Linked DNA regions of Xenopus tropicalis. Each later gene encodes a partner of the first gene's protein in a complex. Links are inferred from orthologs where the notes say so. Each region holds a gene or a part of one and is shown in the gene's direction. Other genes may lie near its edges. The genes, in order: dgcr8, erh and drosha.

Evidence for each region.
Region 2: the proteins of dgcr8 (region 1) and erh are in contact, whole or in part, in a crystal structure (PDB 7CNC), measured with the Homo sapiens proteins. The link is inferred for Xenopus tropicalis from reciprocal best matches to the Homo sapiens genes DGCR8 and ERH. Residues at the interface, in NP_073557.3 of Homo sapiens: Lys107, Phe108, Ser109, Pro110, Asp111, Leu112, Leu114, Leu115; in NP_004441.1 of Homo sapiens: Val8, Pro10, Thr11, Thr18, Tyr19, Ala20, Glu27, Lys34, Met35, His39, Arg42, Met43, Phe60, Leu64.
Region 3: the proteins of dgcr8 (region 1) and drosha are in contact, whole or in part, in a crystal structure (PDB 5B16), measured with the Homo sapiens proteins. The link is inferred for Xenopus tropicalis from reciprocal best matches to the Homo sapiens genes DGCR8 and DROSHA. Residues at the interface, in NP_073557.3 of Homo sapiens: Asn728, Ile731, Leu732, Lys734, Leu735, Gln736, Glu738, Met739, Lys740, Leu742, Ala743, Arg746, Arg750; in NP_001369437.1 of Homo sapiens: Leu984, Leu987, Phe988, Thr998, Tyr999, Thr1001, Ala1002, Ile1003, Gln1005, His1008, Phe1069, Asp1073, Leu1074, Glu1076, Val1077, Trp1078, Asn1080, Pro1082.

The regions. Positions count from the first base shown.
Region 1 is NC_030677.2:155,329,205-155,333,564, forward strand, and holds the start of dgcr8 (microprocessor complex subunit DGCR8), read left to right. Parts: upstream 1-1,438; coding exon 1,439-2,164; intron 2,165-2,575; coding exon 2,576-2,735; intron 2,736-4,184; coding exon 4,185-4,327; intron 4,328-4,360.
Region 2 is NC_030684.2:109,825,598-109,829,733, reverse strand, and holds the start of erh (enhancer of rudimentary homolog), read left to right. Parts: upstream 1-1,207; 5' UTR 1,208-1,312; coding exon 1,313-1,315; intron 1,316-1,524; coding exon 1,525-1,612; intron 1,613-4,136. UniProt on the Homo sapiens protein: May have a role in the cell cycle.
Region 3 is NC_030682.2:84,236,214-84,239,862, reverse strand, and holds part of drosha (ribonuclease 3), read left to right. Parts: intron 1-1,803; coding exon 1,804-1,878; intron 1,879-3,592; coding exon 3,593-3,649. UniProt on the Homo sapiens protein: Ribonuclease III double-stranded (ds) RNA-specific endoribonuclease that is involved in the initial step of microRNA (miRNA) biogenesis.

The DNA.
Region 1 (4,360 bases):
CACATCCGAACAATTGTAAACAGCGCATAAACCTTTCTGGCTTTGAAACCTTCAATGCATGATTTTGGAAGCCTTCCATAGGACTCAATGGCACTCTACAGATCCAGCCTGGCCAAAAGATAGTCGCCATACCAAAGGTTGAATGAATTCCGATTCGTTGCGAAAAATACAACTTTTTTGTGCAAATGCTACAATCAAAATACTATGCAATGGAAAGAGTATGTATGTGTATACATATATAATATATATACACATTAAGTAATTTTACTTAGCACAGGACGAGAGAAACATAACTATGTTGACAAAAAAATGCTTAAAATGTACTGAAATATTTCATTTTTGGTCAAATCGCAAAAAGACGATCTGGTGAGAACATGTACTGCCGTTCTGTAGCAGAAGTAGGAGGGGCGAGTAAAGGAAAGCCAATTTGAGAGCTGACTTACAAGCAGCCTCCCACTGTGTAACATTGAGTTACGCCGACTTGCCACGCCCCCAAGGCAGTGCGTATGCGTCACTGGCTTACGGGTAGTTTTGACGCCAGTCTCGCGTGATGGGACTTGTGACGTTGAGATTTTCAGTGAGACTGGAGGCTCCGAGGCTGTAGTTAACAGCTTTTCGGGAGGTGTAAGTAGCGCTGTGCGACTACGGGATGTGTTAGGCAAGGCGGAACTTTTGGGCAGTATGCGTTTAGTTGGATTGCCGGGCCCCTACTGTCAGTAAGCTGCAGACTTCGGAAGGCAGGGCGGGAGCTAGGGTGCCTGCATGTTCTTTTCACGATACCGGTTTCCCTCCCGCTGGTTGTGCCATAGAAGCTTAAGGGAAGCCCCTTCCGAATTTTGCATTCTACTGACAGCAGGGGCTCCGCTAATCCAATAAAGTGCAGCACAGCCCCCCCCCTTAAAGCAAAATACCCACCGGGCCCGGTACCACTGCCCCCACCCTATGGCGGCGCTGATTTTATATATGTTCTTTCTTCTCTTTAAGTGAGGCCTTTCGATGCTTGATCAGAGCTAGATGTATATATGAATTTATTATAGTGTCGTTGTACTGATAAAGGATACTGCTGTGCACTTTGCATCAGTTTATTGTGTGTATGTGGAAGAGACTGCAACCCTTTCCCCATTGTTTCTTTCTTTTCTCTTTTCTTTTCTTCTTGTTACAGGTAGACATGAAGGTCTGGATCAACGATGTCTGATGCCTAGCGCTTGCTCTCATTAAGCTGAATACATTGTGATTTCCAGTAATAGAGACAGTATTTCTGAAGGCTGTCTACATTAATGAAAAGAGCAATGTAGTCAGCTTAACAGAATCATCAGTGTTACCTACTGATTGTAATGTGGTACACTCACATTGCTGGGCAGTTGCATGCTAGGGTTATAGTTACATTTGTAAACTAGCTGTTTTGTTGTAGATTTTCTGTGCTAAATTAGTATTAATTATGGAGGAGTGTGAGGAAGTAGCCCCTCTCCCAGAGGTAAATGGACATGAAGTGACGGAAATGATTCCTGCTTCTCCCCCTCCTCTGCCGCCAGATGAAGAGCCTCCACCACCTCCCCTGCAAACGTCCAGTGACGCAGAGGTAATGGACGTTGGCTCTGGTGGTGATGGACAGTCACAAACCCCAGCTGGGGACCTGCAACAAAACAACGGATTACAGCTTCTCACTAAGGGGTCATCCTCCTACAAGAGTCATCTTACAGTTCTTGATCCCTTTCACAGTGACCAAAGGCCAAGAACAGCTCGCCATGCACCATCTAATAAAGGGTTTACCCCCGATCTTAAGTTGCTAAAGGATGTTAAGATTAGTGTAAGCTTTACAGAGAGTTGCAAAAGCAAAGACAGACAGGTTCTGTACACTGGATTGGAATGTGAGGGTTCCCTAGATGGAGGTAGCAATATAAACAGTGTAAATGGAGATATGTATGTTTGTCCTTTTGCTGGTAGTACCAATGGTAATGTTACTGATAGTGTTGAAATTACACTTAAAAAAAACGATGAGCCTGAAATTGATCAGGAAAAGAAAGTAGAGTATGCTGTTCTGGATGAACTTGAAGATTTTACCGAAAATGTTATGGATGTCGATGAAGATGGAGCAGAATTTGTATCGGAATCCATTCTCCAGAGAGATAAGATTGATGAAGAAGCCCTGATGTACAGTTATGAGGTATGTTTCTTAACATAAATACAAGTGGATTATGGGAGCACATCCCATGCGTTGTATGTTTGTTACCAATAACATCCGCATTTGTTGCCTAATTTTTTCATTCTGTAGCAAATTTATATTCTGTTTTTATTTTACCTTTTGAGTTTTACAGCAGCAGCACATTCCAGGTGAAAGTGCTGAAAGTGGTGTCAGACTTGCTGCTTTTCAGATGTTGAAACAAAATGTTCTGCATCCCACCAATAGCTGAAATTTGTTAGGGGTGGAGTGTTCAAATAGATCTACCGTAAATGGAAAAGCTACAGGATGTCCATTCTTGGTTTAAATAATATGTCTTTGCAAGGGATAAGAGGAAGGGGCTCTGTTTCCCCACAGGGATGGAATTGGGGATGTTCCTGATGATTTTTCTTACAGGATGAATTTGATAACGATGTGGATGCTCTTCTGGAAGAGTCCCTTCACACCCCCAAAAAGCGAAGAATTGATGAAAAATATGATATTGATAGTGATCATCAATCAGATGGAGAGTCAAGTGTGCAACCCATGGTGACCAAAATAAAAACTGTACTAAAAAGTAAGCTATGGATGTCCTTTATCTGTTTGCCTCATTTTAATCTAATTTAGTAGAACACAGTGTGTTAAACATTTGTTACGTGTGTCTTAGGTTTTTTTTTTTTTTTAACCTACCTCACTGTTTCTCCCACTTGGTTTCAATTAACTCAGTGGGAAGAAAGGTGAGGTTTTGGGTTTCACTATCACACGGGGTCTCAAGTTTTGTTGGGTGATGGATTTTGACTTTAAACTGTATATGTTTTTATCCTATTGCACTGTAGTCAGTTTGTCCAGAGAAAACTTGTTTACAGAAACATTTTTAATTCACATAGATAAGGCTTGGTAGTTTTTTAATGTAGGAGGCCACAAGTCCCTGTAACATTTATTCTCACTACCTGGAGGATAAATAGATTGCTTCAGTTTGCATGGATGGCCAAATTATACCTATTAAACCTACTAGTATTAATATTGTACAAAGTCAGCCCTAGTATTGCAATGTTTTATTCCACTTCCATAATCACATGGAGATGGTAATTTCTATTTTGGAGAGAGAGGATGACTACACAGTAGCAGATATTTGTCACTGATTTTGACCGTTCTGACATAAGTGACCTGAAACCTGGTGAAAAGGGAAGCGTAATGCAGCTGACTTTACAGAATGCTCTGAAAAATATATTTTGCTGGTAACTGTTTGGCTGATGATCAGTTGGAATACATGTAAGTGTCTGATCCCACAAGAAAATGTATTTATGCGTTTGTATAGTGTGCCATAAACCTTAGTGTCTTCAATTTGCTAGGAATAAAACCTATTTCTGGTAAACCTTAATTTGCCATGCAAATAAGGGTTGTGTAGACTGTGTAGAAATTTCAGGCAATTAATCTTGCTGATTAGGCTAATGCCACACAATGCGAATGGTGTATATTTTTGGCTAGCCAAATAACACTTGCTGAGAATACGCGCCATATGCTCCTACCTGTGCCTGAGCCAGAATTAATGGACTACGCCCAGGTGCAGGCACATGTAGCCTCGCAGTTTTATGCGGACTTCGGCTACATGTGCCTGCACCCAATCGTATTCCATTCATTCAGGTGCAGGCACAGGTAGGAGCGTATGGCGCGTATTCTCGGCAAGCGTTTTGCTGAAAGTGTACACCATACACATCATGTGCCATTAGCCTTTATTATGCATGTATTATAACATTTTGACAATACTCATTACGATTGGATCCCCTGCCTCTTCCTGCCAATATTTGAAAATATTAGGAAAACAACAAGAAATGTAACTTTCAAACTGTCCTTTTTAATTGGTTTTATGTTGCAAATAAGTTCATTTTTTCCCCTTAAGTTTTAATCAGCATTGTCTGTCACTTTGGTGATCCTGTTAATAAAATTGTGTGGGAGAAGAATTCTCACAGAGAAATCAAGTCTAGGTAATTCCCCCATTAATATTTCTATCACTCTATTTTTTTAGGTCGAGGCCGCCCACCAACAGAACCATTACCTGATGGGTGGATCATGACATTCCACAACTCTGGCCTACCTGTGTACTTGCATCGAGAAACCAGGGTAGTCACCTGGTCCAGACCTTATTTCTTGGGCACTGGGAGCATAAGGGTAAGCAATTGTAGCTAAATCATTTAGCTGTAG
Region 2 (4,136 bases), on another chromosome or scaffold:
GTGAACTACCCCAGTAATGAACAATCATAAAACCACTTGTTAAAGGAAGCGTTTCATTAGCCGCTAACACACTTTCCCCTTACTCTCCCATAAACCTATTGTGTTCCCCATGTCTGTGGGGGGTTCCACTACTCTTAGTTAGACAGTGAGCTCTTTGGGACACCCACACCTACCAATTGATATCCCTTAATGCTATTAGTAACTACAGCTATTAATAGAAAGATTAGATATAACCTTCCTGTGCAGTTTGATGCTTATCCTTTGCTATGGTATGTACTCCATGGTCTCTCTGATCTGTGCTCATGGAATGGACATGATGCTATGCATACTGGGGCCAGTATACAACTATACAGACACATAGTGGATATAAATTACATTTACCTATACTATTGTCATTTACAAATAGCCTCATAAAACATATACACAAAACTACTCCCTGCCTATACTTCAGCCCATGGCAGGTGTAGCTCAGCAAGACTTGTCCCATTCGAGGTTGCCAATCAGTGCACTATACCGATAAATAATGTAGGTACTCACACACTAACAGACAGGCACAGCCGGTCCGGAACAGCTCAAACCGAATACGAACCACAGGGCTATTCCTTACCGCTGAGCCCAAAAATCTGCTCCGGCTTGTTCAACAGACTCTGACAGCCCGCAGGAACCTTAGTGGCTCTCGCACATACGCACCGCCATCTTGCTGTGCCTCAGAGCCGCGGCTGCCATGGTGTCATTACATGAGACTACTTCCGGGTTAGCTGGACAATGGCGTCACAGTAGGGAACGTAGATAGACGGACAGCGCTGCGTGGATAGAATAAACATAAAGACAGAGACACGCCCCTTTGTGGCGCACATAAGCATTTAGTAGTTACAAACAGGCGAAAAGCGTCGCAGAAAACGACATAAACTCGTATAACAATATTTACAATTAAATGTATAACAATAAAATATATAACAATAAAATATATAACAATTAAATTTAACTATTATATAGTTTAAGGCGTTACCTCCATCCTCTTGTCTCTTTGACACATAGCTCTTGTACTTTTTATTCATTATTGTAATGACCCCTTGTTTATTATTGTGCTGTTGCACAGCGATACATACATACAGCGCTATATAAATAAAATACACGTACAGTCATATTACACCCCGAGCCCTTATTAATCATGGCCGCCACGACCTCCCATACTAGTCTCGCTGTATGATACCTGGAGCGTTTAAATCTAACTACTTCCGCCGGAAACACGACTTTCCATTTCCTGCTTGCTGCTTCGGGTGCTAAGTTGCGGTGTGTAGAAAGCGCAGATATGGTGAGTAGGAATGGCTGCTGGGCGGCGGGGCTTGTTAGCGGGTGAGGGCGCAGAGAAGCAGCTGCAGGCCGCGGCGGGCTCCTGAGTTCCAGGGGGCGGGATGCGCGGCCCCATAATGTAGCGATGGAGGCCCCCCTCGGCCCGGGGCTCTGCAGCTGCTCCTCTGCTTGTGTTTTGCCTGTAGAGCTCACACGGCCTCTCTCTTGCAGTCTCACACAATCCTACTCGTACAGCCCACCAAGAGACCCGAGGGCCGGACCTATGCAGACTACGAGTCGGTGAATGAATGCATGGAAGGTATGTTAGCCTCACATTTATTGCTTGATAGGAAGGGAAGTGTAGCTACGGGTTACTCGCACTCTATACATTCCTTACAGCACGGGGTTTTCCGCCCAAACCTCCTTTACTGCCCAGGATTTAGGCAGCCCCCCCCCCCACATTCATTTAGGCAATTATCACTGTAGCCTTGATCAGAGCTATGTTTTATATCCGCTTTTTCTGATATCTCCAGGAAATAATTGTTCCCCCCCTCCCCCAGCCCTGAGTATGTAACTGACCTTTATGGTGGCCATACATGGGTTAATTTTGGCTGCCGATATTGGGCCTTTACACTAATTCTGCAGCTTATCTGCTTATTGGGCCTTCTTGACGACGTCTGGCCTGAAATTGGGCAGATCTCAATCGGGCAGGTTTGATTTTTCCATCAAATCGGGACCGCATCCACCCGTGCCTATACTCGCTGTTTTCTTTCGATTGTTTGGCCCCAGGGCCCAACAACTAGATTAGCCCAATAGTGCCCACCCTCAGTTGGGCATATCGAGAGAAGATCAGCTTGCTTGGCAACCTTGCGAAGCAAACTAATCTTACCATGTATGGCCAGCTTTAAGGTGGCCATACATGCACCGATAATACGAGGTTTCGTACGATATTCGGTGCGTGTATGGTATGTCGGCGAGTCGACCAATATCGCAGGAAGCTGCTGATATCGGCCGACTCGCCGATCGGACCAGTTTGAAAATTTTGACCAAATTCTGACCAAAATCTCCCTTCACCGCTGAATCGGCAGAAGGAGGTAGAAATCCTATTGTTTCTACCTCCTTACCTGCCGATTCAGCCCTGAATGGTGTGTGGCTGATCTGACGATGTTTCGCACGGGGCATGTAAGTATAGTCATTCTCCCCAAATCTTACCCCGACTGGCATTTAGTGTCTGTCCCATTTAGGTTGGCCAGCCCCAGTTATATTTGTATAAAGATTAATATTTCCTTAAATTTAAAGTATATAGTGACTAATGTACCCCTTCTTATAGATAAGATAAACATGACCTTGTATTTTCAGAAGGTGTATATGGTCATGTGACTCCTTGGTGACTTCTATTATCTTCATAAATGTTAGTACTGGGTACATCCTCAATACAATCTGCAGGCCTTAGGGGTCAAAGGCGGAATCTGGAACCTAAACTCTCGACCAGCACTTGACCTGTTAGACCCCCCCTTTGAACCCCCGGGGTTATATTGTGAGTTGCGGGAGAGGATCCCAATGTGTGAGAGGCAGGAGGGCTCCACAGATATAAGTGGTGTGGGGGCCCTGTGGGTAGCATAGTTCCACCTCTGCCTCCATTTTGTTCCCCTCCTCACAGATGTGGGGGATAGTTGCCAGTATGCTGTTCTTTTGCTCAGGGTGGCTAGGGGGCATAGTTGTATCCATGCTTATGTTTTGTTTACCTCCCTTTTACAGTTCCCCTTGTTCCCTTTCCTCTGTTTGCTCCCCACACTTTCTCCCATGTGTCTGCCCCCCCCCCCCCCCACACTTTCACTGTTCTCCATTTCTTCAAAGTCCTGTTTCTTCTGGAACTATAGTCAGATCTGCTTTTCCCTTTGTTGCTGTTGAGCAGGCGGTTAGGTGGGAGGGTCTGGCTGTTCAGTTTGGTGGGGACGCAGTAAAGTAGTTGATTCAGGCCTGAGGGGCCAGTGTTTGATTGAGCGGGTCTTGAGGAGGCAGACAATCCGGCAGGAGAAGTTATACTACGGGCAGGCAAATGGTCTCTAGTTTAGTTTACAATGCCGTAGGGAATTGGCCAAACTGTAGATAATATAGACAACAATGTATCGTTATTGTAATTTTATAACAGGGTACATTGTTTTCATAATTCACAGTTTTCAGTAAGTCATGTGACAGATTACATCACTAAGCACCGAGTATAACCTATGACATCACTAAGCACACTCTGTAAGCATATTGGCTACAGGATGTTTATGGCTCTTGAGTATATTAAAAGTTCCATAACCTGTATAAAAGCACAAAATCCTTTGGCTTTTTCACCTTGGCAAATTCTAATTTTTTTAATTTTGGAAAAGGGGGTACATATTTTTTTGTTTATAATACATAAGTTTCAATGTGTCATGTGACACAAATAACGTTACTAAGCACTGTTTAAATGGATGTTTGACTCTTGCGTATTATAAACGCCTTGTGGCATTTTTCTGCTGTCTAAGCCTAAATAGCACAAGTGGAACCTTGGCTTTAATAAAATTATGTGCCTTTCTCGCAAGTGTGCAAACGCAAAGATTTAACATATTTCTATATAGAGAAGTAAGTAGATTGTTCTTACCTTGACCTTCTTCCCTACTGATCATAAAGCCCAGATTTAAATCACCTCCCTGTTGGAATTAATCTTGTTATAATCCATCCTTTGTTGAAGTTAAGGAACTACTCAAACTCACTGTAATGCGATAATTATTTATTTTGGGGATGATATGCATCAGACGCGGCACCACGTGGCAAAAGATGTAGCATTGATTTAATTGATTCTTGCTGCTGCC
Region 3 (3,649 bases), on another chromosome or scaffold:
AAAATCACAATGAAGTTCAGCCGGTCCAGACTTTAAAGATAGGTGCAAGGTTGCAGCTTTTTCATGGAGTCTGGGCCTCAGCAGTAAGAGATTCCTGGGTCTTAAAGGTTGTCCAAGAAGGGTATCGGCTAGAATTCCAGGAAAGACCCAGAAGAAATGTTTTTCGGAAATCTATACCTCCAAAAATTCCGCAAGCAGAAGTAATTTTTCAGGAATATGTGGATGCGCTCAGAGAATCAGGGGCAGTGGAGGAAGTTCCTCACTCGTCCAGGAGATCCGGGTTCTACTCAAAGCTTTTTCTGGTACGGAAGTCCTCAGGAGCCTTCAGACCGGTTATTGATCTCAGACCGTTGAACCAGTTCATCCATTGCAGACTGTTCAAGATGGAGTCCTTGGCTTCCATAATCCTCGCAGTTCCTCCGAAAGCATGGTTATTAAACCTCGACTTAAAAGATGCCTATTTCCAAGTGACGGTCAGTCGGTGGATTGTCTCCTGTATCGTTTTGGCTTATCAGTTGGCTGGCAGGGAGATCCCAGGGGATCTTAAGGCACATTCCACCAGAACAATGGCTACATCCTGGGAGGCAGAAGCCATGGCTCCGCCAGAAGCGATCTGCAAGGCAGCTAGATGGACTTCTGCATCTACCTTTATTCGGCACTATAAGCTGGATGTGTTGCAGTCCCAGGAAGCGAGATTTGGGAGGAAAAATTTTCAGGCAGTCGTTCCCTGAACGTTCTGGAATAAATTGATTAAGCAGCCTCTGCTGTCGCTCCCTTCTTTTTTTTACCTTGGGGAATTCCCAGTGTTGGTGAAGTGCTGCCATTGTGACTTGGGAAATAGAGAAATCTTATTTTCTTACCATAATTTTTATTTCCAAGTCACTCTTCATGGCAGCATTCACCAACTTCCCTCCCTTCAGATGCTTGGTTACTAAGACTAGGTGCTGTGGGAGGGGGGATGCTTAAATGCTGTGTTAACGCTTTCCTGTCCAGTGACCTAGAGGGGCGGGGATTACCCAGTGTTGGTGAATGCTGCCATGAAGAGTGTCTTGGAAATAGAAATTACGGTAAGAAAATAAAATTTCTCTATTTCCTATAGCAACCAATTGGGTCTTTGCTTTTGATTGTAGACTATTCAATTCTATGTGCTGTGCTATGGACCGTTGATGTTGGCTTACACACTATAATAAATATGCCCCTAAATATTCTTGGTTAGATGGGAGAGGTGAGATTTTTGGTAAACAGATGGCTGAAACGCCACAACCTTAAACATCGCTATGGCACAGTGCACAGCTCTTACAGTAGGGGATGGTATAACCTGCTTGGTCAAATGGCAGATGTCATTTTGGGCTAAACCGATGACAAGGATAAGACTGGCACCTTTAAACACCGCTAGGTGTATATTTTGTTTGCCACAATGTGCTGCCATTAGTTAGTTACAGATTGCTAGGTGCATGTGTTTTTGGTCATACCCTAAATTCTTATTGTTGTTCTGTTGTGGGTAGGGGAACTTTACATAAAAGAAGTAGTTGCTAACCTTCTCCTGAATAAGAGGACATTTCCTGAAAAGTTTTGTTGTATTGATCTTTTTATAATAATTATTGTATGCAATATTTTTTATCTGAAGTAGGTGATTGCTAATAAAACAGTTATAATGAACTCTACTTGTCTGTTCTATTTTCTCATTTTGTCTTGTGTAATTTTAAATTGCAAATGAGACCAGTGGACTTGAAATATTTAGTTCATAATGTTTTTATCTGCTGCATTTTTTTTCAATAGCTATTTTCTTTTTCTGTCATGTAGCCGAGAGAGACACCGGCATAGAGAAAGCCGAAGATCAACATCTACTGAGAGAAGTTATAGAAAGAGGCCAAAAAGGTATTAGTGTGTAAATTAAAACCATATAAACTTAGATAGATATGTGAACATTGTTAGCTTGTATACGTATTCATCATTATATAGGGCAGCTTAGTTTTGACCTTATGTATTTTCTTATGAACAGACATGCTAAAGAAATTAATATTTCATCTTTTTTTGTAGAGACAGTACAATTTAAGGGTGTAGCTTAAAGGAGACAAAAAGGTAAAATCACTAGAATGTACCAAGTTAGGCACACCTCCCAGTGCCCAGTTATTTTAGTTACTTGCCTTCTACCCTGTGCTCCTCTTTAAAAATTCATTAGCCCTGTGTACTGTTTGCTGAGTTTTACAAAAGTTAGAGAATTCTGTATTGCAAATGCACCGTCTTAGAATTGGCACAGGGGCACCTGAGGTATACTCTGGTATGCTTCAGGCAAGTATAGTCTATTGGTTTCTTTCTCTCTTGTCTATTCTTTTCTTCCTCCTCTCTTTTCCTGTAATTTGTATATTGTCGCAGGCTCTTATTCTGTTAACTATGCTGGTGTAAAATATGAATTAAAAATAAAACAAACAAAAAAAACTAAACACTGGGGAGTGCCTAAAGGTCCCTTAGACCGATTCGGCAGCTAATCGGTCCGTGTATGGGCACTACCGATGGGCCTGTCCGACCGATATCTGGGCTGAAATCGGCCAGATCTCGATTGGGCAGGTTAAAAAATCTAGTCGGATCGGGGCCGCCTTTGCCTATACCCGCGGTAATAATTCGATCGTTTGGCCTCAGGGCCAAACGATTGAATTAGTCTGCATTCTCCCGATATCGCCCACCCGTAGGTGGGGGATATCGGGAGAAGATCCGCTTGCTTGGCGACATCGCCAAGCGAGCAGATCTGAAGGTGTATGGGCACCTTATCAACCTCTGGTGATTTTACATTTTCTTCTCATGTAGGTATCAAGTCAGTATATAAAGTATCAAGGCAGCCTTGGCCCCTGATACAGACAGTAAATTATACCTTTGCTGTATTTTAGCAAAATTAGCTTGGGCAAAAACCTTAAAGGAACAGTAACACCAAAAAGTTAAAGTGTATAAAAGTAACAACAATATAATGTACTGTTGCCCTGCATTGCTACAACTGGTGTGTTTGCCTCAGAAAGACTACTATAGTTTATATAAGTTAGCTGCTGTGTAGCCATGGGGGCAGCCATTCAAAGGAGAAAAGGCACAGGTTACTTAGCAGATAACAGACAAACCCCCATTATATGGGGCTTATCTACTAGTTATCTGCTATGTAACCTGTGCCTTTTCTCCTTTTTTCCAGCTTGAATGACTGCCCCCATGGCTACACAGCAGCTTATTTATACAGTAGCTTTTCTGTAGCAAAAAAAACAGTTTTTTTGCAGAACAACAGCACATTATATTTTAATTACTTTAAATCACTTTCATTTTTTGATGTTACTGTTCCTTTAATGGCAAAACTTCTAACCTACCTGCTTCTTTGTCAGTCATATTTTGTGTAAGTAAATGAGTGTAGACTGGGCTTCAAATAAATTGCTTAGTGAAGAGACTTTGAGCCCTTCTTGTCTGGCACTGGCACAAAATGTGTTCTCCCCAGGCATTCGGGACCCTTTATCAATACAAGGAAACTAGTGCTTTATATCTGTATTTCAAATAACTCTTCTATACCATACAACCAATTGAATTGCACTATGCTAATCAAGTTTCTTTCTGTTTCAAGTCCATCACCATCAAGCAGAGAGCATAAAAGATCTCGTTGGGAGGAAGACAATGAATC